Linked DNA regions of Rattus norvegicus. The protein of the gene in region 1 interacts with the protein of each later gene in a biochemical or structural test. Links are inferred from orthologs where the notes say so. Each region holds a gene or a part of one and is shown on either strand. Other genes may lie near its edges.

Region 1 (3,500 bases):
AAGAACTCCAAATCCACATCCTAAAGGAAGCACAAGAGTATGTTAGCTGTTAGCACTGTGCCTTCCTCCCACAGAGCACAGGGTCTCTGGACTTTCTATTTTAAACAGACTGGCTTCTGCCTCTGCCACTCCACATCTGCTTAACAGAAAAAGTCCCTATGGCTGACAACTTTGCACTTGCCTTGGCAACTGGGGATTTTCGCAGATTGGCTTTTAGGATGGCAACACGGGACTTCTCATCAGGAAGTGGGATATAAATGAGCTGATCAAGACGGCCAGGTCTTAGGATAGCAGGATCAATGATGTCAGGCCGGTTGGTAGCTCCAATGATAAACACATTCTTTTTTGTGGACATGCCATCCATTTCTGTCAGGATCTGATTGATGACTCGGTCTGCAGCTCCACCACCATCTCCAATATTACCACCACGAGCCTTGGCAATTGAATCTAACTCATCAAAGAAGAGTACACAGGGGGCAGCTTGTCGTGCCTATGAAAAAGAAAAGACCATCTCAAATACTAATATAACTAGATTTCTCATACTTCAGGAAGAAAACAGAGTAATCAGTAATGCCCCAACTGAGCTGCCAGTAATAAAATTTTTTGCGTCTGGAGAAATAACCTCTCATTCCACCTTGCCCCTTGCCATACATACATATGAACATCAGCTAGCCATCTAGCTTACCTTGTCAAATATTTCCCTGACATTGGCCTCAGATTCCCCAAACCACATGGTAAGCAGCTCAGGACCCTTGATGGAGATGAAGTTAGCCTGGCATTCATTAGCAATGGCTTTGGCCAGTAAGGTTTTCCCACAGCCAGGCGGTCCATAGAAAAGAACACCTTTGGAAGGAGTCATGCCAAATTTGAGGAATTTGTCTGGATGCTCCACAGGATACTAGAAGAAAAGCAAAGATAATTTAAGGGCAACCCCATATTTTAAATCAAATCATATCAGAAGCATAGCATCTTTATGATACAAACGTCTAACATCCAAGTTTTTTGTATATAGGCTTCCATGCTACCTAGTCTTATATCAACCTGACACCTAACTTGAGTTATCTGAAAAAAGGGAACCTTGAGAAAATTCTTACATAAAATCTGGCTATAAGGCATTTTCTTCATTAGTTTTTGATGTGGGAAGGCCCCACCCATCGTGGGTGGTCCCACCCCTGGGCTGATGGTTCTGGGTTCTATAAGACAGCTGGCTTTGGAAGCAAGGCCTTAAATAGCACCCCTCCATGGCCTCTGCATCAGCTCCTGCTCTGTTTGATGAACAGCAGTGTGGAACTCTTTCCTCCCTAACTTGCTTTTTGTCATAGTACTTCACTGTAGCAGCAGTAACTTAGGGCAGTTCATTATTATCTAAAACTCTGTAACAGAGTTATACGCTCAATTCTTAGTAAATCAGTCTGAGACCTAAAAGTTGATTATTATATACTGAGGGAATGACCCACCATACTAGAGCAAAACTTAGCCTACCTGAACCAACTCCTGAAGCTCCCGTTTGACATCCTCCAGGCCTCCAATGTCTTCCCAGGTTACTTGTGGCACTTCTACCACAGTTTCCCGAAGTGCTGATGGGTTGCTTTGACTTAAGGCCCACTAAAAAGGGAGTTTGAAAAAGTGGAGATGAGACTTGGGGGCGGGGTCCTCACAACAAAATACATAAACATATTCCTAATTTGGGTGTAATATGGTCCTTACCCGGAAGTCATCCATAGTAACTGCCAGGGAATTCATGACCTCAGCGTCAATGGTCTCATCTTCTAGGTCAATGAGGTCCATTTTTTTCCGGATGGCCTGTAGAGCAGCCTCTGAACACAGGGCTGCCAAGTCAGCACCCACATGACCATGAGTCTCATTGGCTACCTGCAAAGAGAAGATATACTGACCATCCTCAAGATCCAGCTACCTTATCAAGTCAGAAACAGAATCCTGACTCCATCCCATGTTTCATATCTCTGATTCTTCCTGTTTCCTTGAAGAGATATATTATAGCAGACCTTTTACAGGCAGAGGTGTTAAATATTCACACCGGATTGGGGAGCTGAAAATAAAACTGCTCCAACAACTCATACATACAGCAACAACTAAGAAGCACATTCCTGCTCTGAAGTTAAAAACAAAGTCCATCCAGCTTTTTTTTTAGAAAAAAAGAAAAGATACAACGACCTTGCTGTGTAGCCCTAACAAGCCTCAAACTCAGGCTCCTCCTGTCCGTCCTCCCCCCCCCCCCCCGTTCTAGATTACTGATATGAAGCCTCTTTTCTTAGTCTATGCATGTAGTCCCCTGCAACCTCCTACAACAGAGTTATCCTAAATTCTGGCCAGCCATCATCACCACTCCACCTGTTCCAAGTCCACATCATCTGCCAGTTTCATGTTCTTGGTATGGATCTGAAGAATTTCCAAACGTCCTGTAGCATCAGGGATTCCAATATCTACCTCTCTGTCAAAGCGACCTATGGGACAATAAAGGAATGTAAAATAGGAAGTTTCTGGTCCACAGAAGTCACTCCAGAACTCTCTTATTTAAAGTTAGCATTAATGCCTCACAACCTGGAAATCTTTCAGACTTAGGCAAAAAATAGATAGTTACTCTAGAGCAGTGGCTCTCAACCTGGATCTCGACCCCTCTGGGACAGAACAACCACTTAACGGGGGTGGGAGTGGGTGTCACATATCAAATACCCTCTATGACAAATATTTTACATTACAATTCATAACAGTAGCAAAATTACAGCCATGAAGTAGTAACAACTTTATGATTGAAGGTCACTACAACATGAGGAACTATATTAAAGGGTCGCAGCACTAGAAAGGTTGAGGGAGTGCCCTAGAGAGAACACAGAATGGAAAAAAAAAAAAAAAACCTTAGGTCCTGTCATGACAAAGAACTTAAATTCTGAGGATTAAGTAACTTAAAGACATAGGTGAGATAAGGAAATCAAGCCCAACAGACATACCAACAATATACCCTACAATATATCAACAAGTAAGGACAGGCTGGTTTGCACGATGGTGGTGCACAACTTTAATCCCAAGCACTCAGAAGGCAGAGGCAGGTCAATCTCTTGAGTTTGAGGTCAGCCTGGTATTCATAGTTTCAGGACAGCCAGGGCTACACAGAGAAACTCTTGTCTTATATATTAAAAAAAAAAAAAAAAAAAAAAAGGGTGGTGTAGGAAAAAAATTTAAGGTCTTTACCAAATCGCCGTAGGGCTGGGTCAATGCTGTTGGGTCTATTGGTTGCTGCCATAACTATCACATGTGCTCTCTGCTTTAGGCCATCCATAAGGGTCAACAACTGAGACACGATGCGACGCTCCACTTCCCCGTGAGTCTGTAAGACAGTAGTATGTCTGGTCAGAAGCTAGGTCAGGACCTCACAAGTCCTTACCATCCCATTGGGTAGGTTCCTACTTTCTCTCTTTTGGGTGCAATGGCATCAAGCTCGTCGATGAAGATGATGGCAGGAGCATTCTTTTCAGCTTCCT
Region 2 (4,249 bases), on another chromosome or scaffold:
ACCGTACCTACTAGGTATGTTGCAGAAGCATCAGATCCCCTGAATCTGGAGATACCAAATTCTGTGAGCCTCTATGTGGGTTCTGAGAATCAAACCCAGGTCCTCTACAAGAGAAGTGGCAAATGCTCTTAACCTCATAGCCAGTTACCTTCTAAATTGCAATGAATCTCACCTCACAGCTCAAAACAGCTTCTGTAAACTCCAGGCCAGACATCTATTACTCACAAAAGTACCTTATGTTGCACAGACATTTAAACTCATTATTCCCCAAATTAAACCCTTGTCTTCCCTTCCCAAGACCCTGCTCATTCTGCACAGTATTTCTGGTTGGAGTATTACTCCTTCTTTAGGTGGTACCTACAGCAGACACCCACAAATCTTTCCTAACAATAACCCCTTTCACCCCAGTTCCTCACCAAAGTCTTCTGAGTCTGCTTCCTGAAACTTCAAATTGGTCTCTCTCCATTCTCAAATCACTACTGGAGTTCTGACCACCATTGTCTCCTCATTTCTCCCAAAATGCCTTTCAAGTATTCTGTTCCCCAGTGATCTTCTAAAATTCTAATTTGACCCCATGTCTCTAGTTTTGAAAATCTGTAACCTCCTGTAGGTTTTTTGTTTGTTTTGTTTTGTTTTTGGTTGGGAGGTGGCGGGCAGGATCGTCCTAGAAACCCTGGTTACAGGCTGCCACAGTCCAACACAACATACTCCTCCTACCTTCAGGTGCAAGGATTAGGAGAATGAGTCTTTGTACCCAGTTTCTTTGCTGACTTTGAAGAACCTAAAATGGTTCCACCACACAAGATCCGCGCCCAAATAACACTTAATCTTTGTCAATCCCTCCCCCACCCCCGGCGCGAGCCACTCAACATTTTACTGGACTTTTCACTTCCCCATCGACGCTTCCTCCTTCAGATATTGTACATTTATCCTGGGACCTGATACTCATTCCGACAGGCAACTGTGTTGGACACTGTGCTATTCTAATTTCTTAGTGCCTACATTTCTTCATTTGTATAATAATATTACAACATACACACACATCAAAAATGCCGCATTAAATCGCACTTAGAAGTGGACTATTATAAGTCAGCCCTAACTAAATACTAGCTATAGTTTTCACACAAATACTAGGTATTGGGAGAATGCCTTTTTTGGAATGAGGTTTTCAGTGGGAGAGGAGGTATTACACGTAGTTGAGCAGAAAGTACCAAAAAAGGTGGAAATGGAGAAAAAAAAAAGAACCTAAAACCTGGCTGCGAGGATTCTCATCTAGAACCCTAGAATCACAACATTGTCTAGCGTAGAGAAGTTCCTCCGCACAGCAGGCGGCGCCGCAGCATCACACACGCGGCGGGAGGACCAGCGCCGCCCAGGTCACGTGTCCCGTGCTCCCCGGCTCGCGTGCCGCGTGACGTGCGCCCGCAGTAGTGATTGGGTGGCGGGAGGCACGTGGGTAGGGCGGGGCGGGCCGGGGCGGAGGGGTGGGGCCGGGGGCGGAGCTGCTGGAGGGGGCTGCTCCGCGCCGGGGCCGTTGGCTCCAGACAAATAAACATGGAGTCCATCTTCCACGAGAAAGTGAGTGTGGGCGTTCGGTGGGGAGCCGTCCGCGGCTCGGCGGCGGGCGTGGGGAGCAGCGTCGCCGCTTCAGGAACTCAGGCGGGGCCCGAGCGCCCCCATCCCGACTTGGCTGGGTGAGGGGTGCTTCCTGCCTTCCCCCCATGGCACCGTTCATGAAGCCTCCCGCATGCGTCTCCGGCACCCTCACCCTAAAAGACCGGGCGGGTAACCTGGGCATTTCGGGGGGCTTCATCCGGAGGATTAGCGCGGGCGTTTCTTGTTCACTTGCCACGCCTTTTCGGGTTTCTTCTATCTTCTCTCCTGTGGTCTAGTCTAGCGAGACGCCTTTCCACACCTGACGGACCCTTCCCAACTCCACCCACTCCCCCTGACCTATCCTCTGGCAGAACCAACTTTCTCTCTCAACTCAGTTCTATGATGGAATGTCCCATGCATTTAGATCTTGGTGATCTATCCCACGTCCTTCTGCAGTTGTGACCGTGGCTCTCCCATTGAAGGGCCTGACACTTGGGAAGTAAAGTAGGAAATCCCGGAGGGAAGTCGTCATAAGAGTTTTTATTACGGGATGTTTGGGCTGCTCTCCCATTTTTCCGGACCAGGAGGCCAGCTTTGTTTTTAGGTATTATGGATAGATTAGAATCTTTCTACTGTGTGATTTGGCTAGTCTCTTCCTCACCTTAATTCCTAAGTGACTACGCTTTACAGTATTGTGACATCTCGAGAAACTGGTCTATGCTCGCATACAATTATCAAGTCATTTGGGTGTTCCTCGGACAACTTTGGCATGATTCCGTGTTTCATAATCATTTTAGGTTTGGAGAGGGTTGCTAGTTGAGACTATTATTACAGTTGGAGCAAAGGCCTTTGTTTTTATCATTTGTAAAGGAGCATTCATTCACAACGTTTAAAGTCCATGCACGACAAAAGAAAGACAAAAATGCTGTAAATCTAAGGAAGTTGTTAAATGAAAGTGTTCTTAAGAAGACCTTTCATAGTGTTTTTGGAACTGGAACAAGTTAGTTTGTGACAAGATTTCTTGTAGCCCAAGCTGGCCCCAAACTCTCCATCCTACTGTCTCTGCCTCCTGAGTGCTGGCTGGGATTATGACCATGTGCCCTGACTCTGAGTGCGCCACCCCCTCCCCCACTCTTTTGTAATTTTCCAAAGGCTTTGGGATAAAGTCCATTTTAAACATGTTATACTCTTTGGGATAAAATCCATTTTAAACATGTTATACTTTATACACTGTTTTGTGAGACTCCTGCCATGTATTCTTAAAAGAAAAATGCATGTGCTTGTGTGGAGGTCAAGGATGACTTGATAAAGTCTGTCCTCTCTTTCCAACTTGGTGTGGATTCCAGGTGTCTGAGGCTTTGGCAGCAAGCTCCTTTACTCTCTGGGTCATCTTTAGGGTGAATGAAGGAAGAAATGGAAAGGACATGACTTCTAGGTATGGTGAAGGAGAAAGTTTATTAAAGAGATGTGGGAGAGCATAGCCTGGGGCAGACACATTTGGGAGACCCCAGAGTTGTCATGACCCTGAACCACATGGGGAGAGGGAAAGGAAATACAGCAGCCAGGAGCCAAAGGTGCAGAAGTATACCAAAGAGGTTGGGTTACCAAAATACATGAATTACATAGGCAAGGACCACTAGGGGAAGGGCAGCTAGGCCATGGTCTGGAGAGTTCAGGGTAGAGAGTAGGTATACCAGCTATACCCTGGTATAAGTAGGGACTAAGGGATGCTGGGAGAACCTGGAGTTCAGGTCCGCTTTGATATGTTAAATAGGTACCTCTGCCACCTACCATCCTGGGATTGAAGCTCAGCATAGGGCTCTTAAACAATACACTAAAAAATATGTATTTTTTTGCTGGCAGGGGTGGTAGGCCTTTAACCTCACACTTGGAAGGTAGAGGCAGGGGAATCTCTAGTGAGTTCAAGGCCAGCCTAGTCTACAGAGAGAGTTTTAGAACAGCCAGCTCTATACAGAGAAACTGTCATGGAAAACAAACAAAAAAATTGTATTGGTGTTTACTGTTGTGTATGTCTGTGCACTGTGTGTCTGTTGCCCACTAAAGCCAGAAGATTCCCTGGAACTGGAGTAACAGGCTTGTGAGTAGCTGTGTGGGTGTTAGGAGTTGAACCGAGGTCATCTGGAAAGCCAGCCTGTACTCTTAACTGCTGAGCCACCTCTCCATCTCCCTCAATACCTTCTTTTTTTTTTTTTTTCTTTTTCTTTTTCTTTTTTCTTTTTTTTTTTGGAGCTGGGGACCGAACCAGGGCCATGCACTTGCTAGGCAAGCACTCTACCACTGAGCTAAATCCCCAACCCCCCTCAATACCTTCTTGACAATATTGATTGTTCCTCATTTGAGCAGATTTCAGTGAAGGTAACTACTGAATCAGTATATCCAAAATGCTAGGCTAACAAAGACTTACTCAGGCCAAGGATATGCCTCACCTGAATAGTGCTTGCTGTGTAAGCATGAAAACCAGAGTTCAGATCCCAGTGTGTGTTTGTATCCCCAGTACTTGAGGCAGGGAACCGAGCCAGGTGGGTTTCTGGTTGCTGACCAGCCAGTCTAGCTGAAATCAGTGAGTTCTAGGCTCAGTGAAAGACTATCTCACAAAATAAGGTGGAGCGCAACTGAGGAAGGCATTTGACTT
Region 3 (3,500 bases), on another chromosome or scaffold:
GAATTCCAGGACAGACAGAACCACACACAAAAAGATCCTGACTCAAAAAGCCAAACCAAGCAAACCAACCACACAACTGCTCCTCAGATGAGCACAGCATGGCGGTCTTAAAGCTACTCACTTTCCGGAGCCTCGGAGGCAGGAACACCTCAATCGTAGCAATCCCAGTTGTGCGGTAGTGCTCATTCCCAGTGCCGCGCTCAATCGCTTTGCATCGGATTTCCTCTATTATGTTTTCCACTTCATTTTCACAGCACTCTAGCCGCTCGGAGTACCTCTTAGCAAGGTCCTATGAGCAGAAACCAGAAACGGAGCTCAGTGGAGGGCCAGTGCAAAAAAACCAAAAAACAAAATATATATGTGTGTGTGTATGTGTGTGTATAATAAACACTATATATATTTATTATATATAGATAGTATATATGTATATTTCCCAAAGCAACATAATTCTTACCAGCAGATACCCCCACTGTACTGAAACTCAATCTGGGCTCTCAAGGATATTCAGGGAGAAATGAAAACACTTATAAATAGTAAAAATAGCTTGCTGGTCAGAGTGAGAGTAACTGGGACTATTCCAGAGAGATGGAGGGAGGCTGAGACTCCTGTGACCTTCATAGACTAAGAAATTAGTTTAGGAAGCAGTCAACTAGGGCTGTGAAGACGATGACTAATGGCCAACCAAGGCTGATGCCTTGAGGTCAATCTCTGGGCCCTACAAGGTGGCAGGAGAGAACCAAGTCCTATAATTGAATTCTAACCTCCATAAGTGTCTCATACTCGCATGCACACACACGGCTACTTTTTTTTCAAAGTTGTAGAGGCTGGAGAGATGGCTCAGTGGCTGAGAGGATCTTTCATTCTTAGAGGACCTGGGTTTGGTTCCCAGCACCCACATGGTAGTTTACCACCACCCACAACTCTCATTCTGGGGGTTCAAATGTTCTTCCTCTGACTTCCAAGGGCACCAATCATGCTTATGTTGCATATACACAGGCACATAAACACATGCACTCATACATAAATAACTGTAAAAAAAAACTTCTTAAAATAGTGAACTGTTCATCATCATTGGATGGGAAGTTTTTTGGGGGGGGGGGTTGTTTTGGTTTTTTTTGAGATACAGTCTCACTACATAGCTCTGGCTGTCCTAGAATTCACTCAGTAGACCAGGCTGGCCTTGAACTCAAGAGATCTACCTGCCTCTGCCTTCCAAGTACTAGGATTAAAGGTATGAGCCATCACTACCTGGCTGTTGTTTGTTTTTAATTTTTTTTAGGATTATTTTATTATTTTGTGTATGAGTGTTTTGTTTTTTTGGTTTTTTGGTTTTTTTTGCACGCACGTCTGTGCACACGTGTGCCCAATGCCCAAGGAGGTGGTGTGGGTACTGAGAATTGAACCTGGGTCCTTGTAAGAACAAGTGCTCTTAACTATTGGGTCAACTCTCCAGCTTCTTTGTTTTTTCTTTCAGTGATGGCATCCTCATCATAATACATTTTAAATAGGCATCAGGAGAAGGCTGGAAGAATACCATATCACTGATGTTTACTATGTTTTTAAAAATATACTCTCTGAGATAGAGATAGAATCTCATCTAGGCTGGTCTTAAATTCGCCATATAGCCAATGATGACCCTGAATTTCTGATCCTCCTGCATTAACTTCCTGGGTACTACAATTCCAGGCATGCCCACCATGGTTTATAAAATTGTCTTCTTTATGCTGTGACCAATGACAGACCAAACATAAGCTCAAGTGCCACTTTAAAAAGGGCTTATTTTCAATTTATTTGTATCAGTAGAAGTGCATGTGTACATGTGTGTGCAGGTTCCTATGGAAACCTTCTAGAAGGCAACAGATCCCCTGGACCTGGAGTTACAAGCAGTTGTGAGCCACCAATATGGGTACTGGGAGCTGAACTGTGGTCCTCAGCAAGCTTTTAACTGCTGAGTCATCTCTTTCAGAGCAGAAGAGGCCATTTTAATGTCCATGTTGCATGTGTGGGAGATGCTGGTGTGAATAAGTCTACTGTGATGCCAGTCCTGTAAGCACAGGACACGGCATCAGCACAGCACATAAATACTGTTTCATGAGAGTGAATGGCTGCAAAGCCATCTTGGTTTCATTAGCTGTGCTCCTCTGACTTTTCTGTAATAGTTTACTATGAAGTATAGCATGTAATTATTAAAAAAAAATGTATGCTATTGACGGCTACTCTCCCTCCAGCTGTGGAGGTCTCCCTGCCCCCACAGCTATCCCCAAGCGGTGGTCTACCCAGTTCCCTAGCCAAACCACTGAAGTGTTCAGATTCCCAAGCATCTGTCCCCTATGGCTAGTCTGTCAAGACTTTCTGGAAACCCTGAATCCCGTATAAAGAAACCTCCAGAGGCTTGTAATTTGTTAATTCTCAACTCACAAACACCCACACAAAAAAATTCAAAACTCAATCGATATTGATAAAAGCTGCACACCTAGACTGGACAAATTGCCCTACATTATTCTATTGTTCTTCTATGATATCCATAGCCACCTATGGCTATTTCAAGCCCTGTGGATCCAGTACGTCTTCCTTTTCTAGTATAGGTCTTGTCTCCTCTCTCTGTCTCTCTGTACTGTCTCTAAAACTCTCAGTCCACTTCTTTTCCCACTACCCAATCACAGGCTCTAGTCTTATCTTTCACCGGCCCTCACCTGCTTACAGACAACAACTTACACTGAAGTAGTGTGGAGGCAGCAGCAACCTCAGCCTAACAGGTGTGAACCAAACTCTTGCCTCAGGCGCATCACCCCAACTCTTGGACGGCCCCAGTGGTGAAGGAGACTAAGTATACAATTGACTGTCCTTGAACTGGTGACCCTCTTGCCTCAGCCTCCAGAGTGTTAGAATTTCTGGTGCGTATGACTAGGCTCGGTTCTATTTTTAATCCAGGAAGACATATTATTTTTATCACTATAAAACATGAAATTTTTGAAAATAAAACACCTTAACAATCAATTTCAGGGCCAGTAGGATGGCTCAACAGATAAGGTCCCTGTCAAAACATGGCTGACAACTTTTCTATTTCCAGAGCCCACATAGAAGGAGAGAACCAACTCCTGCAAGTTGCCCTGATTCCCCATGTGCACCCCATCCCCCACCCACCCCAAGTAAATAAATGTACAAAAACATTACTTTCTAAAACTTCTAATGTCTCTAGAGCATGGTGGAGCACACCTGCGATCTAAGCACTGAGGAGGCAGAGAAGGAAGATCCTATGGATCCCATGGATCAAGGTCCTATGGAGTTTGAGGCCAATCCAGGCCTCATGAGACCTGTTTCAAAAAGCTAAAACAGAACACACACCAAACCAACCTAATAACCAACTAAACTCTAGTTACCTAGAGAAGGTTATTTTTTTCTCCTGATAGCAAGTAATTCTAACATTAACTTGGGACAGTTCACTGGTGTCTTGGGGCAGTCCTACAGAACACCCCATGTTGGTATTCTAAGCTCACCCC
Region 4 (3,500 bases), on another chromosome or scaffold:
GGATTCCTTCTGCTCTAACTGCACTCACACAGCTTACTGTGTGTGTTAGCACCGTTCACAGCATCTGACATCGCTCCTTGCATATTTGTGAAAGCTTTTATCATCTTATGCTTTCATATGTTTCTGCTCCCAATCTGAGTATAGAACGTTTTGGATTTTGTGGGCTTTAAACCTTAACTGGTTCTCTTCTAACTTCCAAGGTACTAAAGTAAGTGATGAGGATTTCCTTCTACTGGAGCTCCTACACTGGTTTAAAGAGGAGTTTTTCCACTGGGTGAATAACGTTGTGTGCAGCAGATGTGGCAGAGAGACTAGATCTAGAGATGAGGCCTTGCCGCCCAATGATGATGAGCTGAAGTGGGGCGCCAAGAATGTGGAGGATCATTACTGTGATGCCTGCCAGTTGAGCAACCGCTTCCCAAGGTGGGTGCCTGCAAAGTGAGGTGGGCGTCTCTCAGTGGGACAGGTAACAGGGATTTATTATCAAATTAGACTTTTACTCTCCATTTTAACTGGACTTGATATTTCTTTAGGACAGAGGTCTACAGACGAGAGTGGCAGTCTAGAGCAGCCACATCCACATTCTCTGGTTTTCTTAGGACACAACCCACTGACTTACTAGTCCTGTGACAGTTTTCTGACTGCAAGAGTTGCTGAATACTGATGACTGTAAGACTAAAGATCAAAATATTTACTGCCTGGTTTTCTCTGTCTTTTCTGTCTCTCTCTCATGTGTATGTATCTATGTCTTGTGTAGCCAGGCTGTCCTGGAACTTCTGATTTTTCTGCCTCCACTTGTTGAGTGCTAAGATTGTATGCGTGTATCACAGTGTATCCAGTGCTGGGGACTGAACTTCTAGCTTTGTGCATGTTAAGCAGGCACTTGACCAACTGAGCTGATCTCCAGTCCTTACTGCCTCCTTTTATGCAGTTTGTTGACTCCTATTCTAAGGCATACATTTCTACATATATTCATAGCATTTTAAAGTATGAAAGTGCTGTGGTCTACAGTGACAGTATTAGTGATAGTGACACCATTATAAAAGTAAAATAGTGCTATCTTTAATCGTAAGATTCAGGGGTAAAAGTAACTATAAGGGCAGAAGTTGTTTTAACCAGGACTGCCTCTGTCCCAGCCTCTCATATCCATCTCAGTCTCTGCATTTTTCTTGTTTTGTTGATTGGTTTTGTTTTTTGAGACTGAGTCCTGCTGTGTAGCTCAGTTATCCTCCTACATACCAAGATTACACATGTGTACCACTAAACCTGAATATTTTAAACTTGGGAAATTAAAAATTTTCAGTTTACTGTTTTCAACCTTTAGTTTATAAGCATAGTTAGGAAGTTTAGTTTTATTACACAACAGAAAAGATGGCACGCGTTTGAAAAGCCTGTTCTATTGGAGTTTAGCACTCAGCTTGTCCTAATGTGGAACCAGCCCTACATTATACATGAAAGAACATTATAATACCTGATGCTTGTATAAGCACAAAACACTCACCAGCCCTTCTCAGTGCAGAGTGAAAATCTCAGTGCTCTCTATTCTTATGGTACATTAGTAACTGAAATGACTTTTGAGAGAATACTTCAGATGTCTTGCTCGTAAACTTTAGCAAGCATTTTTAAGTGTGTCCAGAAAATTAATCAAAATCATTATTAAGAAGAAAACTGGAATTTATACTAAGTTACAATATCATAAGCAGAGTGAGAAGTCCAGCTATGTTTACAGCCAGGAAGAATGAAGTCTTGTTCAACCACTTCTACCTTAGGCCCTGAAGACAGGTGTCTAGCGAGCCCCAGAAATCCTGTCTCCCTCACCCACAGCTTTGGGATTACAAGTATGCATGGTCACACCCAGCTTTTTACATGAGTACTGGGTCCAAAGTCGGGTCCTTATTTTTCAACAGAAAGTGTTCCTAAGCACTGAGCGAGCCGTCTCTCCAGCCCTACTCCCCCCAGCCCTACTTTTGGTTTTCATGTTTGGAGGCAGTGTCTCATGTAGCACAGGCTGGCCTTGAATGACTGAATTCCCAGTCTCCTCCCTCCAAAGCCCTGGATTATACTTGCACAATACCATGACATCTTTTCTGGTGATAGGAACTAAGAGTTCACGTATGATAGGCAAGTACCCTAAAACTGAGCTGAATCCCTGCTCCTGCCCCTGCCCCTGCCCCCAGCCCCCTGCCCCCTGCCCCTGCCCCCTGCCCCTGCCCCTGCCCCTACCCCTGCCCCAAGCTAAAAATCCATTGAGAAATTTCTAAAGATAATTACACAGTAAGCGTATTTACTTGCAAGAGAACCATTGAAGATCTTAATCACAGTTTTTAGAAAACCTGCCCATCTAAATATTTTTAGAAACCAGTCAAGATGAAAATTATTCCCTCCAGCCATTCTCCTATGTCTTAGCTGTTACATGGCTGTTTTACTGATTCTGCTTGTGTTGGTATGGATAGGCTAATCAGTGCACTTAGCTCTTTGAAGTGGTAGCATCCATTTTTAATTAAGACAAAACTGACTGCATATACTGAACTACACTCACTGAAGACAGTTCCACCTTTTAAGCATGATTCACAAAGACTAGCACAGTGCCTTGTATAGACCATGTACTTTTATCAATATTTTAAAATAGGAAACTAAAAATTATGAAAATCATGGTTGGTGTTTTAGAGTACAAGTGATGTAAATTCCTTAAAAATTGGATTTTAATCATGAATCACATCTGTTGTCTTTGTTGTTTTTTTTTAAACCAGATATAACAACCCAGAGAAACTTTTGGAAACAAGATGTGGACGCTGTGGTGAATGGGCCAATTGTTTTACGCTATGCTGCCGTGCATTAGGGTTTGAAGCTCGATATGTGTGGGATTACACAGGTACAGCCTGGGTAGGAGAGAGAAAGAGACTAGAGAAGAAGTGGGCTTTGTAAACTTCTTTTTCTCACATCCCCTGAGTTTTCTGTTAGCCTTCTGTAAGGTAACAGCAGTACCAGCCTCAACAGGCATTTTCGAGACTCTGTAACACTTATAACACAGCTGCCCCATTCCCAGTACCTGGATTCTATCCTATTGGTGACATTAGCAGTGGCCCTGTTCTGTGTGTATGGAAATGTGTGTAGTAACATGCTGTCCTGTCATGTTTAAAGGATTGCTGTAGGTGACGTAGTAAGCCTATACTACATTCTACAGGCATGGAGGATAACCTTGGTGTTGGACTTGGTCTTCATTTAGAAACAACTTATGTCAGGTCCGTGTTGAAGGTCACTTTCCCTGTTCCAGGGTTTTCTTTGTTTTTACTGTTGTCTTTATTTTTATTTTTTTTATTTTTTTTATTCGATCTATTTCTTTACTTACATTTCAAATGTTATTCCCTTTCCCGGTTTCCTGTCCATAAACCACCCCATCCCCTCCCCTCCCCCGTATGGGTATTCCCCCTATCCATCCTCCTTACTGCCACCCCCCAACATTCCCCTGCACTCGGGGTCCAACCTTGGCAGGACCAAGG
Region 5 (4,230 bases), on another chromosome or scaffold:
CTCAAACACAAGCACCTCGGTGAGCTGTCGCACTCGTTCATCCACTTTGGCCCTCAGCTCTTTCACAGAAGGTGGGCTGGGCTTATCTTCAAGATAGTGATTTAATTTGTCCAGCAAGTCCACGGCACCCTCAAAGTCCCTCTGCGCAATACAAACATCCAGGTCTTCCGGCAACTCCTGGATCCACTCCATGGAAAGGTCAACCTTTTCCTCCTCTGCCTCCGGGGTGGCCAGTTCCTCCTCGGCCTCATCCTCAAACGGGTTGCTGCCCTTGGAAGTGACCGGTGGTGGCGCACGCAAGGCGGCTGCCTCCTCCTGCTCCCGTCTCCTCTTGTCGCTGAGCGCCCTCTTGGTTTCCTCCAGCACTTCCAGCCACTCGCGTTTAATCTTGGCATTTTCCGCTTGAAAGATTCGGCTCTCAGGGAACATGAGCAGCTTGAACATGTCTTTCATAGGTGGATTGTCTTTGACGTTGACCACAGCCAGGCGGTCCAGTGGGTAGAGTGCGTTGTAGCGGTACATGCCTCGCCGTTGTGGTAGCCAAGTGGCCACCAGCAGACAGTCGTTCATGAGGAAGCCATGCACTCGCTGCAGCTGGGCCATATGGTCTGCCTCGTATTCCACCAGGTCCCCGTTGTACACAAGGTACTGACCTGGTGTCTCCAGCAGGTCCCTGCAGCCCTCCACCTTCTCCAGCAGCGTGGTGAGCGTTCGCTGCTTGCCCTCCTCTCCCGTCCCGGGGCCCTCGCGAGGGACTCCGGCCGGCCCCGGAAGAAAGCCCGCCTGGGCCGCCCCGCGCTCCCGCGGTCCCGCGCCCGCCGTGTCCTCACCCGTGGATGCGCCCGCGGCAGCGGCGGGCAGCAGTGCCAGCGGGATGCTCTCCAGACTGCTCTTCTGCTCCGTCAGCAGGTGGCTCAGCTGGTACATCTCGCTCTCCAGGTAGGAGATCTCGCGCGCCGTCTCGATGAACTGCCGGTAGTTCTGGTAGACGTTGCGCTTCAGGTTCTGCGCCGTCTCCTCCGCCAGCGCCTGCACCCGCTGTCGGTGCTCCTGCAGGTCGCGGTCGCCGTCCGACTGCTGCGACAGTTGCTTCACGTACAGCCGCGCCTCGAAGCCCCCCGACTCCAGCTGCCTCCGCAGGCGGCTCGCCCCGCTGTCCGACATGGCTGCCACCCGCCCTGCTCCCGCGGCCCGCAGTGGCTGTCACTCGCCGCCTCCCGGCCCCACCCGAGCCCGGTGGAGAAGCGGTAGAGGAAGCGGGGCGGGAGCAACACCCAAACGCCTGCGCCGGGGCCGAGCGCTGCATTGCGCCTGTGCCAAAGTCGAGACTCTCACACTGCGCCTGCGCCCGGGGCGGAGTGTCGACGACGCGCCTGCGCGGAAACGGCAGCGTCTTAAGGCGCGTGCGCGGACGGGCCAGTACGGAAGTCAGAGGAGGGTCGGGCACGGACCAGACTTGACGTGAGGCGCTGGACCTCGGCGGCGGTCTGGAGACAACTGGCTTCCTGAAGCCGTCCCTACCCCGAGCCCAGCGTTCCTAAGTCTGTGTCCGCGGGGCAGAGCCGAGCCACCTTCGGTTAGGCGTTCGAGGCGAGCCCGCGCGCCCTGACAGCGGGGCCGGGAGGTCTCGCGAGATCCGTACGCCTCACGAGCCCGACCGGCGTCTTGGGAGCGGCTGAAGTGAGAGTATCGGGATGGACGAGGATCTGGTGGTCGCGCTGCGGCTGCAGGAGGAGTGGGACGTGCAGGCGGCGCGGCGCGCGGCGGCGCGGGAGCCCCTATCGTTGGTGGACGCGTCCTGGGAGCTGGTGGACCCCACCCCGGACCTGCAGGCGCTCTTCCTGCAGTTTAACGATCGCTTCTTCTGGGGTCAGCTGGAGGCCGTGGAGGTGAAGTGGAGTGTGCGCATGACACTGTGAGTGCGCCCACGAACGGCTCGGAACGTAGGGAAGGGCAAGGGCGCTGAGTTGTCGTTGGTGTGTCCCCTCCTCGTGGCCCAACGGCTCTCAGAGATGTACCAGCAGGATCCCTCATCTACCCACTGAGTTTGAGAAATCCTGTTCTAGATAATAATCTGCCCTGCATATACACCGTCACATAGCAGCCTGAGCTGAAGCAGGCTGAGACGTAGCGTACTTCTAACTTCACATCGGCCCCGTGACAAGTCCCGGTGCGGAGCAGAGAGGATAACAGTGGGTGAGGGTGTGAGGGTGATCAAGTGTTATTAAAAAGCCCTCTATCAGGGACTTTCGTTGAACTGCCCAAGGATAAGGATTTGCTGGCTCTTTTTTTTTTTTTTTTTTTTTTGGAGACAGGGTCTCACTATGTATCTGTGGCTGCCCTGGAATTCACTCTGTAGACCAGGCTGGCCCGGAACTGGGAGATCCTCCTGCATCTGCCTCCCACGGACTAGGATGAAAGGCCTGCGCCACCATGCCAGGCGAGGGTTTGTTTTTTGTTCTGTCTCCTTTGTGCATTGGGTGAACCTAATCCATTGTCCGTGACTGTTTTCCAGGTGTGCTGGCATCTGCACCTATGAAGGGAGAGGAGGCATGTGCTCCATCCGTCTCAGTGAACCCTTGTTAAAACTCAGACCAAGAAAGGACCTTGTAGAGGTAGTCTTCGCATAAACTGGTTCCTCAACATTTAGATTTTTATTTTTCAATGATGTGTTCTTGATAGTAGCTCATACTATCTTCAACCACAAGATCCTCTGGTCTCTGCCTGAGGGCTTACAACAGTGCATCACCATTCCCGTCCAGGGTATTTTGTTGATTTTAAGAGACAGTCTCTATTCCTTAGATTGGCCCTGGTCTTAATGCTTCTCTTGCCTCAGCCTCTCCAGTGAGCTGGCATGCAAGTACCCAGCTATTTTTAGAGGGCGCAGGGTTGTGGGGGGTTTGATGGTGAGGGAGGCAGAGCTTGCTGTAGCCAAGCTGATCTCAAACTCCTGAGCCTTCTGCTTCCACCTTGAGTCTGGGATCATGGGTCAGGATCATGCCCAGTGGCCGTTCAGAGCTGGGCTGCTTGCTCTTTTGGTGTCCGCATTTCCATTGTTGGCATCTGGAGTCTGCATGGCAGAGTTTTGACTCTATTGGATGTTAAAGTTTTTGTGTGGTTGGGTTCACCAACCTTTTGGGTTTGGGTACATAGTTAAATGGGCCTTCCTAAGCAGCGTTCATTCTGTGAAGAGGGGTACTGGGTTCTGTAGAGCTTGGAATATATGTAAAGGTTTGTACTTGGCTCTGCAGAAGGCTAAGACTGCAGGTTAAAAAAGAATTCATTTTAGCTTCACACTTGCCCTAGAAAATCAATACTTGGTTTTGTGTTTCAGACTCTCTTGCACGAAATGATCCATGCTTACTTATTTGTCACTAATAATGACAAAGACCGAGAAGGACACGGCCCAGAGTTCTGTAAACACATGCATCGAATCAACCAGCTGACAGGAGCCAACATAACGGTCGGTACACTGAGCCACACAGGTTTGGGGAGCAGGCAGGACCAGGGTCTTGGCTGTGTAGACCAGTCTTGCCTCATACTCAAAATTCTAACTTAGCCTCCTAAGTGGTGGGATTGTGGGTATGTCCCACCACGCCTAGTAGCCATTCATTCAGCAAAGGGGAACTAGGTAGAAAGAGATTTTCAGCCTTGAACAAGAGTCCTACCATTTAGTCTCTAGGGGTAGAGTGGCTAAGGAGCCTGCAGGCCTCTTCGTTGAGGCTTCAGCAACTGCAGGCCAGCATTTCAGGCATGGGACCTTCAGGAGTGACTCCAGCTCATCTTCCCTGAGCTCTTCTGGAACCATCGCTGCTATGCAGTGGCGTCACGGCAGTGCCTGCTTTTGAGATCGTGACAGTAAAGGATGTGCGGTGCACCGTGAGCACTGACAATGTTGTTAACTATGAGGGTCTTGTGTGATTGCTTAGGAAGGATCTGGCCCTTTTGCAGTTTTTATCATTCCAGGAACTTAAGGAAGTGTGTGCCTCCTCACCTTTCCTTCTGTGCAGTTTTATTCTCTGTGTGCGCTGATGCTCCGCTTGCATGTGTGCCTGTGGGAGGGCGTCAGATCCCTGGGCTCTGTAACCAGAGTTACAGATGGTTGTGAGCTGCATTGTGGGTGCTTGGCAGCTGAACCTAGGGTCCTCTGTAAGAGTAGCCTCTTACCCACTGAGCCATCTCTCCAGCCCTGTGGTCTCAGGTCTTTCTCTCTATGGTAGCTTAGTAAGG
Region 6 (3,500 bases), on another chromosome or scaffold:
TACTTGACACTCCCAATATTGAAGTCATTTTTATATTTTGTTCCATTTTTGAGAAATGTGGTATAGTGGTGTTTTTTACAAAGAAAGAATAATTTTATAATTTAATACTATCCAAATAGTTGCAAGTGAAAAATATTAGCATTAACCAGATGTCAAAGATTCGATCAGGCTTTGGCTTCTGTCTAGGATTATGAACTAATCCTACAAATGGAAAGGTTGCATATTTTGTTTGTTTGTTTGGTCAATTTTTATTTTTTTCAAGATAGCGTTTCTCTTTATAGCCTTGGCTGTCTTGGAATTCACTCTGTAGACCAGGCTAACCTCATACCCTGAAACTTGTAGAGGTCTGCCTGCCTCTGCCTCCCAGGGGCTGGGACTAAGATGTGCATCACCACCTCCCAGCAGGTTACCTGTATTTTTAACTATGGTTGTTATTTATTTTTCTTATTAACAAACAAAAAAACCTTAAGTGACATTTTCCCATGTATTGGGCAGCTGTGTTTTTTGATTCAGGAACTCTATCAAATCTGTGGCATTTATTGTCTGTTTTAGCCACTGAGCATTACAGACAGAGTAAGTAAAGCAGCCCATGCTAGGCTGGCCTGCAATCTGGTGGCAAGTTCTATTCCAACATGGGGCTTCCTTTGTTTCCATGCATGCAAACTCCAGGCCAGTCACTAGGGAGGGCTACACCAGACTGCTCACCTTGCTCCTGTGGGCAGCTACCTCTTGGCGTGTCCAAGGAGCCAATTCTCTGATATTGAGGCATTTGCTAGTGTCTCTGGGAGCTGACATTGCCCTCAGTTCTTGGCTTCCTGTGGCCTCTACCACATGTGATCGAGGTGTGAGGCTCTATAAGTTTCCTTCCTTTCTCTCATTTACTTGTACTCAGACACTTGTCTTCACCAAGGCAAAATTTGTATTTGGAGTGTGTTTTTCTTTGGAGCCTTCTTGTCTACTTGAAATGTATCTTTTATTATATCTTTTCTAGTGTCAGAATCTCCATGACTCAGAACACTTAACATGGCTCATTGTGAATCACATTCAAGATCTGATCAGCTTGTCCCACGAGCCTCCAGTTCAAGACTTTATTAGTGCCATTCATCGTAATTCTGCAGCTAGTGGTCTTTTTATCCAGGCAATTCAGTCTCGCTGTGAAAATCTTTCAACTGTAAGTCTTTAGCCTGCCAGTTTGCTTTGTCCAACTTACTGGGATTTTGTCAGTACCAGTTACAAGTCTGAGGAATAATAAATTTTGTTCCTTCTCAACATTAGCCAACCACTCTGAAGAAAACACTTCAGTGCTTGGAAGGCATCCATCTCAGCCAGTCTGGTGCTGTGCTCACACTGTATGTGGACAGGCTACTGGGCACCCCTTTCCGTGCGCTGGCTCGCATGGTCGACACCCTGGCCTGTCGCCGAGTAGAAATGCTTTTGGCTGCAAATTTACAGGTACTGAGAAATGGTGATTTATATCAAAACTTAGAAAGTCAGTCAAAACATTTGGTCTGCTGACCTGGTCTTGATTAGCCACTGACAAGAGCATGTGTGCAATGTTTGTTATTTGTGTGTCTGACCAATGTCTCTTACTAGGACACTGTGCGTAGCACTTTATCCTATTTAAGTGCATATCACAAAAGCCCTGATGTATTCTTGTCTGTGTAGAGCAGCATGGCCCAGTTGCCAGAGGAGGAACTGAACAGAATCCAGGAACACCTCCAGAACACTGGGCTTGCACAAAGGTAAGACTGTAGCATGGGGTACAGGCATTTGGGTATTAACACATAGATATGTACAGGAACAAAGAGGCAGGCAAAGGAGTTAGTGTAGAGTGAGTTTACTGCAGCAGTGCCACAGTAGAGCTGGCTGTCTAACTGTCACATGAAAGTCTCACTGTAGTAGACATGAAGAAGTAGCAATCAAACACCTGTTGCACACACGAGGTGCTCCTGAACTTTCTGACTGTTGAAGGGATAAGAAATGTGTTTGTTGCCTCTGCTCCTGGACCCTTTAGGAATGGGAATAAACATAGAACCTAATTGCTAGGTTAGAAGGAATAAATATGAGAGCTCTACTTGGCTCTTGGCATGTACACATGGTATTTGTGTATTGTTAAGTGACCTCTCTTCATAGCAATTCTTTTGCCTATTTGTTTGAAAGTCTTTTAGAAACCTTTATTAGAAACATTTCAATCTGAAGTATAAGTGTAGTTCCTTAGTCAAGATAAACTAAGAAAAACTTTTACCTCTTTTCCGCCATTGTTAATAGGATAGGGAGCATATGTGCATAAAAGAGGGTGGTTCTCTCATAACTTTAATCTTAGAGTTTTTATGAGGGTGTTTCATAATGGGACAGGGCATAGTCTAGATAATTTTTTTCAGTCTGCAAAGCCACACAATGTTGTCATTTGACATACATAGTATCACATTGGTTTTGGATAGTAAGAGAATAAATTGTCATTATGTTTGATAATAGATGTAATCAGAGGCCTAGATGAGGAAGGTTATGACATCATAAATTATATTGATATAATTATTAATCATTATATAATGATATAATCATGATTATGATTATCATAAATATCTTTGGGCCAGATGAAATGATTTTTCTGTGAAGTGACCCTTCCTAATGAAATGAATTGTGTCATTATGGAGCATTAAATGGAGTTTGTGCGCTTGGATCGTAGAAGAATCTATCTGTTTTGTATATATTACAAATATGATGGCTAGGAATGTGTAATTCAGTGATAGAGCACTTGTCTAGCATGCACAAGTCCCTGGGTTCCATCTCTAATACTGCCAAGAAAACAAAGAGTAGAATAGAATAGCTTTATTAGCTGTTATATATTGTATTGCCTCATGGAATGTTGGGCATAAATGAAACTTCTGCAAAATATCAGTGAGGTATAAATTGTGGTAATTAAAAGTAAGTAGGGTCTAAGTGTGTGTCGTGACTTTAGGATGTTGAAGGGAAAGGTCAAGCATGTGCACCTTGTTAAGAAGCTGCTTCTGCTTGTTGGTATTACATGTTTCTAGAACTCACCTGTGTACAAATTGAGTTTCAGACTAAAGAATAAACTCTGGTTTATTTTACTCTGGTTTTGTTTGTATTTCAGACACCAAAGGCTCTATTCACTGCTGGACAGATTCCGACTCTCTACTGTGCAGGACTCACTTAGCCCCTTGCCCCCAGTCACTTCCCACCCTCTGGATGGGGATGGGCACACATCCCTGGAAACAGTGAATCCGGACAAAGTAAGTGTCCAGTATATCTAAGTATGATGGCCAGAGACCATGTGCAGACAATGGCAACCTCTGTCTCTAGTCAGGATGATAATGGTGACTGTCAGCACACATGGGCCCCTGACATGCAGCTCACTCAGGTCATCAACTGCCCTGCTTGGGATTAGAGTGCAGTATGGAGGCCATGAGGGCCTACTGAGAAAAGGAGTGCTAATGTGGACTTCTGTGGAGGTGTATGGGGTCGAGTCAGGCGCCTAG
Region 7 (3,176 bases), about 100 Mb from region 1:
CACAAGGGCGACTGCCATCAGTGTTCTTGATTGTTTGACAGTACGCTGTAGTTGATTCTGGAGTATTGTCTAAAATTGTGTGTACAAATTGTAGTTAATATTATAGATTAAAATATTGAACATTCGGGGCTGGGGATTTAGCTCAGTGGTAGAGCGCTTACCTAGGAAGCGCAAGGCCCTGGGTTCGGTCCCCAGCTCCGAAAAAAAGAACCAAAAAAAAAAAAAAATATTGAACATTCAGGGCTGGAGAGATGGCTCAGTGGTTAAGAGCACTCACTGATTGCTCTTCCAGAGGTCATGAGTTCAATTCCCAGCAACCACATGGTGGCTCACAAGCATCTGTAATGGGACCTGATGCCCTCTTTTGGTGTGTGTGAAGACAGCTGCAGTGTCCATCCCTAGTGTGGTGTCTTCAGATAACCACAAAGACTTTAAAGACAGCTCTGTCATTACAAGGAAGGAGTGGGGATTGTAAGGCAAAGGGTTCTGCCCTGAGGGCCGCCTCGTTGTCCGCTTTTGCTCTCTTCTCCCAGCAGCAGCTACAGAAGGCAAGGCACGGCATGCCCCTTCATCTGCCATCATCGTGCTGCTTTCCCCTACAGGAAGGGACTCGGGGGCTGCTGGCTCCACAGTGCTCCCTGAGATGTCTCCCTGGTAGAAACCGTCTGCTTTTGCTCTTCGGGGTTACCCCCCACCAGTGGGTTAGCTTGCTCTTGCTCTGTGTCCACAGACCCTCTGATGGACACCCTGATGACTGATCCCGTGAGACTGCCCTCTGGGACCATCATGGACCGTTCTATCATCCTGCGGCATCTGCTCAACTCCCCCACCGACCCCTTCAACCGCCAGATGCTGACTGAGAGCATGCTGGAGCCAGGTAGGAGGCCCAGCTCGCCTTGCTGCGCCGACCAGTGTCAGGGCCAGCGAGGGTAGGAGACTAAGAGCAAGCCCGGTGCCCGGAGGCCTGTGACCTCAGCTATTGAGTGGATGAGCCAGAAGGGGGTAGCCTGTTCAAGGCAAACCCAGACAATTTAGTTGTGATCCTGTCTCAAACAAAAGAAAAGATGGCTAGGCCTACACCCACAGAACCCTTGGCTAGATGCGTACATCCCCAGGTTCAGTCCCCAGCACTTTTCCATAGAAAGCACACAATTTAAGTTCTTTTTATGGAAAAGACACAAAGCACTGGGCTCACTTTGGCTGTAAATGTCTTCCTGTCTGTGGCTGTCTCTTCCACAGTCCTCAGCATCTTTGGGGAATGAGCGGCCTTTTCTTTCCACTTAGATAGGACTGCAAGCCGAAGGGCCTGCCCACCTGGGCTGTTAACCCCCTGTCTCCTCTCCCTCAGTGCCAGAGCTAAAGGAGCAGATTCAGGCCTGGATGAGAGAGAAGCAGAGCAGTGACCACTAAGTGTCCCATCCCATCGCATCCTCAGCTGGAAGCCGCCAGCCAGCCAGCCAGGCCAAAGCAGCATCCGCCTCGAAGCTGCTTCCAACCAGATGTGAGCAGATCCTGAGAACCCACCCCGAGTGACCAAGCAGTGGAGATGGAGGGACATGACAGAAGAGGATTCCTGTACATATATTTAAGTGACAACAGTCAAGCTTGAGGGACGAATTTTCCATGGCTTGTGTAGTAAAGCGCGCCCTTCGCCTGTCGCCCCTGGGGCTGCGGCAGCGGAAGTGTTTAGTGACGAGTGGGTCTGGGCAGCTTCCCCTGAGCTTACGTTTTTGTTTTGTTTTTTTCGATGTGACTAGAGAACTCGGACATTTTGCTGCTAAAGAATCTCCCCTCCCTCACCCACTGGCACTGCTGTGGGATTTTTAAAGAGACACAGACCCAGACTCCTTTCCCGGCCCTCCAAACATGTATTCTGTGAGGTAACTGTGCCTGCGACGAAGTGTTAACCTGGGGATCGTATTTTTATATCATATTCACAGACTTGTTTTTTTAATTGGTGTTAGATGACATGATTAATAAAAAAGGCAAGATATTTTCAGAATTTGAATTTCAGGTTTTTTTTTTCTTTTGAAATAGCCCTTTAAATTTTTTTATTATAAACAAAATGAAGAGAACCCTGTGGGCCTGGTCCTTCTACCACCCCTCAGTTATGATCCTGAGAAGCAGGTGCGACAGCAGGCTGGCTGGAGTGAATCAGGACTCGTGTGACTTGTGGGGTTTGGGGGAGGTGAGGGTTGTGTTTTGTTTTCTGTTGGTTTTTTTTTTTTTTTTTTTTTTTTAATCCTATGTGACAATTCCAATCCTAAGCCGTTATCCTCTGAGGATGAATAAGTTCCTCAACCCTGGGTTCTTTTGTATGCTGTGTCCTTTTGGGGTTTGGCCTTACCAAAGCAAAAAAAAAAAAAAAAAAAAAAAAAAAAAGGGTGCAAGAAATGTGGAAATCTGTCTGCTTGTTTACATGCCCGGACAAACACCACCACGTAACCACGTAGGCGCACTCGAGCAGAAGTACTACCGCTCCCTACGCAACATACTTGAATTCTTAAATTTCCTTTGGGGTGAAAAAGGATTTGAAACCATAAAGTGTTTTAAAGAAATGAAATCTTCAGAAACATACTTTTTCTCCTCTTTTCCTTCCTCCTCCTCTTCACAGTCTGTGCTCTGTTCAGTTCCCAACACAAACGACAATAAACGGTGATGCCCATTCAGAAGGAACCTTCTGTGACTCGTCTCTTTGTGGAAAGAAATGGGTGGGGAAGGCTGGCATGGTGGCGCACACACTTAACCCCAGAACTCCCAGAAAGAGGAGTTTGAGGTCCGCCTGGTCTACACAGAGTTCCAGGTTCACATAACAAAATCCTGTCTTTAAAAAAAAAAAATTACGGGGCCAAAGAGACTGCTCAGCAGTTACAGGAGCAGAGAGGGAATCAGATTTAGTTCCCAACACCCACAGCTTACAACTGCCTGGAAGTCCAGTTCCAGGGGACTAGAAATCAGGCTCCTGTGGGCAGGCACTGATCACACATGTGATGTGCACACACAAAGCATTTATACACATAGAATTCAAGGAACAAGGCCAGACAAGAGCCAAGTGCGTGTGGAGAAATGTTCTTCCTGGAGCCAACTACAAACTGCTCACCTGTAAAACTAAGCACTGTGGGCCATTGGGATGACTCGGGATAACTTGCTGCTAACCCCGGTGACCTTAGACTGAT

The links.
Region 2: the proteins of Vcp (region 1) and Atxn3 form a complex in vitro, tested with the Homo sapiens proteins (5 studies listed by BioGRID and IntAct, with this or other methods). The link is inferred for Rattus norvegicus from reciprocal best matches to the Homo sapiens genes VCP and ATXN3.
Region 3: the proteins of Vcp (region 1) and Nub1 form a complex in vitro, tested with the Homo sapiens proteins (2 studies listed by BioGRID). The link is inferred for Rattus norvegicus from reciprocal best matches to the Homo sapiens genes VCP and NUB1.
Region 4: the proteins of Vcp (region 1) and Ngly1 form a complex in vitro, tested with the Homo sapiens proteins (2 studies listed by BioGRID). The link is inferred for Rattus norvegicus from reciprocal best matches to the Homo sapiens genes VCP and NGLY1.
Region 5: the proteins of Vcp (region 1) and Sprtn form a complex in vitro, tested with the Homo sapiens proteins (2 studies listed by BioGRID). The link is inferred for Rattus norvegicus from reciprocal best matches to the Homo sapiens genes VCP and SPRTN.
Region 6: the proteins of Vcp (region 1) and Htt form a complex in vitro, tested with the Homo sapiens proteins (3 studies listed by BioGRID). The link is inferred for Rattus norvegicus from reciprocal best matches to the Homo sapiens genes VCP and HTT.
Region 7: the proteins of Vcp (region 1) and Ube4b form a complex in vitro, tested with the Homo sapiens proteins (2 studies listed by BioGRID and IntAct). The link is inferred for Rattus norvegicus from reciprocal best matches to the Homo sapiens genes VCP and UBE4B.

What each region holds. Positions count from the first base shown.
Region 1 is NC_086023.1:62,008,388-62,011,887, forward strand, and holds part of Vcp (transitional endoplasmic reticulum ATPase), read right to left. Parts: coding exon 3,427-3,500; intron 3,347-3,426; coding exon 3,211-3,346; intron 2,466-3,210; coding exon 2,353-2,465; intron 1,873-2,352; coding exon 1,708-1,872; intron 1,606-1,707; coding exon 1,483-1,605; intron 899-1,482; coding exon 686-898; intron 491-685; coding exon 182-490; intron 21-181; coding exon 1-20. UniProt on the Homo sapiens protein: Necessary for the fragmentation of Golgi stacks during mitosis and for their reassembly after mitosis. Involved in the formation of the transitional endoplasmic reticulum (tER).
Region 2 is NC_086024.1:126,869,982-126,874,230, reverse strand, and holds the start of Atxn3 (ataxin-3), read left to right. Parts: upstream 1-1,449; 5' UTR 1,450-1,554; coding exon 1,555-1,578; exon of another isoform or gene 1,579-1,694; intron 1,695-1,728; exon of another isoform or gene 1,729-2,200; intron 2,201-2,227; exon of another isoform or gene 2,228-3,031; intron 3,032-4,249. UniProt on the Homo sapiens protein: Deubiquitinating enzyme involved in protein homeostasis maintenance, transcription, cytoskeleton regulation, myogenesis and degradation of misfolded chaperone substrates.
Region 3 is NC_086022.1:11,356,147-11,359,646, forward strand, and holds part of Nub1 (NEDD8 ultimate buster 1), read right to left. Parts: intron 290-3,500; coding exon 122-289; intron 1-121. UniProt on the Homo sapiens protein: Specific down-regulator of the NEDD8 conjugation system. Recruits NEDD8, UBD, and their conjugates to the proteasome for degradation. Isoform 1 promotes the degradation of NEDD8 more efficiently than isoform 2.
Region 4 is NC_086033.1:11,604,329-11,607,828, reverse strand, and holds part of Ngly1 (peptide-N(4)-(N-acetyl-beta-glucosaminyl)asparagine amidase), read left to right. Parts: intron 1-200; coding exon 201-423; intron 424-2,750; coding exon 2,751-2,872; intron 2,873-3,500. UniProt on the Homo sapiens protein: Specifically deglycosylates the denatured form of N-linked glycoproteins in the cytoplasm and assists their proteasome-mediated degradation. Cleaves the beta-aspartyl-glucosamine (GlcNAc) of the glycan and the amide side chain of Asn, converting Asn to Asp.
Region 5 is NC_086037.1:69,753,559-69,757,788, forward strand, and holds the start of Sprtn (DNA-dependent metalloprotease SPRTN), read left to right. Parts: upstream 1-1,430; 5' UTR 1,431-1,694; coding exon 1,695-1,915; intron 1,916-1,925; exon of another isoform or gene 1,926-2,196; intron 2,197-2,515; coding exon 2,516-2,615; intron 2,616-3,334; coding exon 3,335-3,463; intron 3,464-4,230. Other genes in the region: Exoc8 (exocyst complex component 8), read right to left, coding at 1-1,164. UniProt on the Homo sapiens protein: DNA-dependent metalloendopeptidase that mediates the proteolytic cleavage of covalent DNA-protein cross-links (DPCs) during DNA synthesis, thereby playing a key role in maintaining genomic integrity.
Region 6 is NC_086032.1:80,101,169-80,104,668, reverse strand, and holds part of Htt (huntingtin), read left to right. Parts: intron 1-991; coding exon 992-1,171; intron 1,172-1,275; coding exon 1,276-1,452; intron 1,453-1,665; coding exon 1,666-1,742; intron 1,743-3,115; coding exon 3,116-3,254; intron 3,255-3,500.
Region 7 is NC_086023.1:165,049,397-165,052,572, reverse strand, and holds the end of Ube4b (ubiquitin conjugation factor E4 B), read left to right. Parts: intron 1-730; coding exon 731-877; intron 878-1,348; coding exon 1,349-1,410; 3' UTR 1,411-2,676; downstream 2,677-3,176. UniProt on the Homo sapiens protein: Ubiquitin-protein ligase that probably functions as an E3 ligase in conjunction with specific E1 and E2 ligases. May also function as an E4 ligase mediating the assembly of polyubiquitin chains on substrates ubiquitinated by another E3 ubiquitin ligase.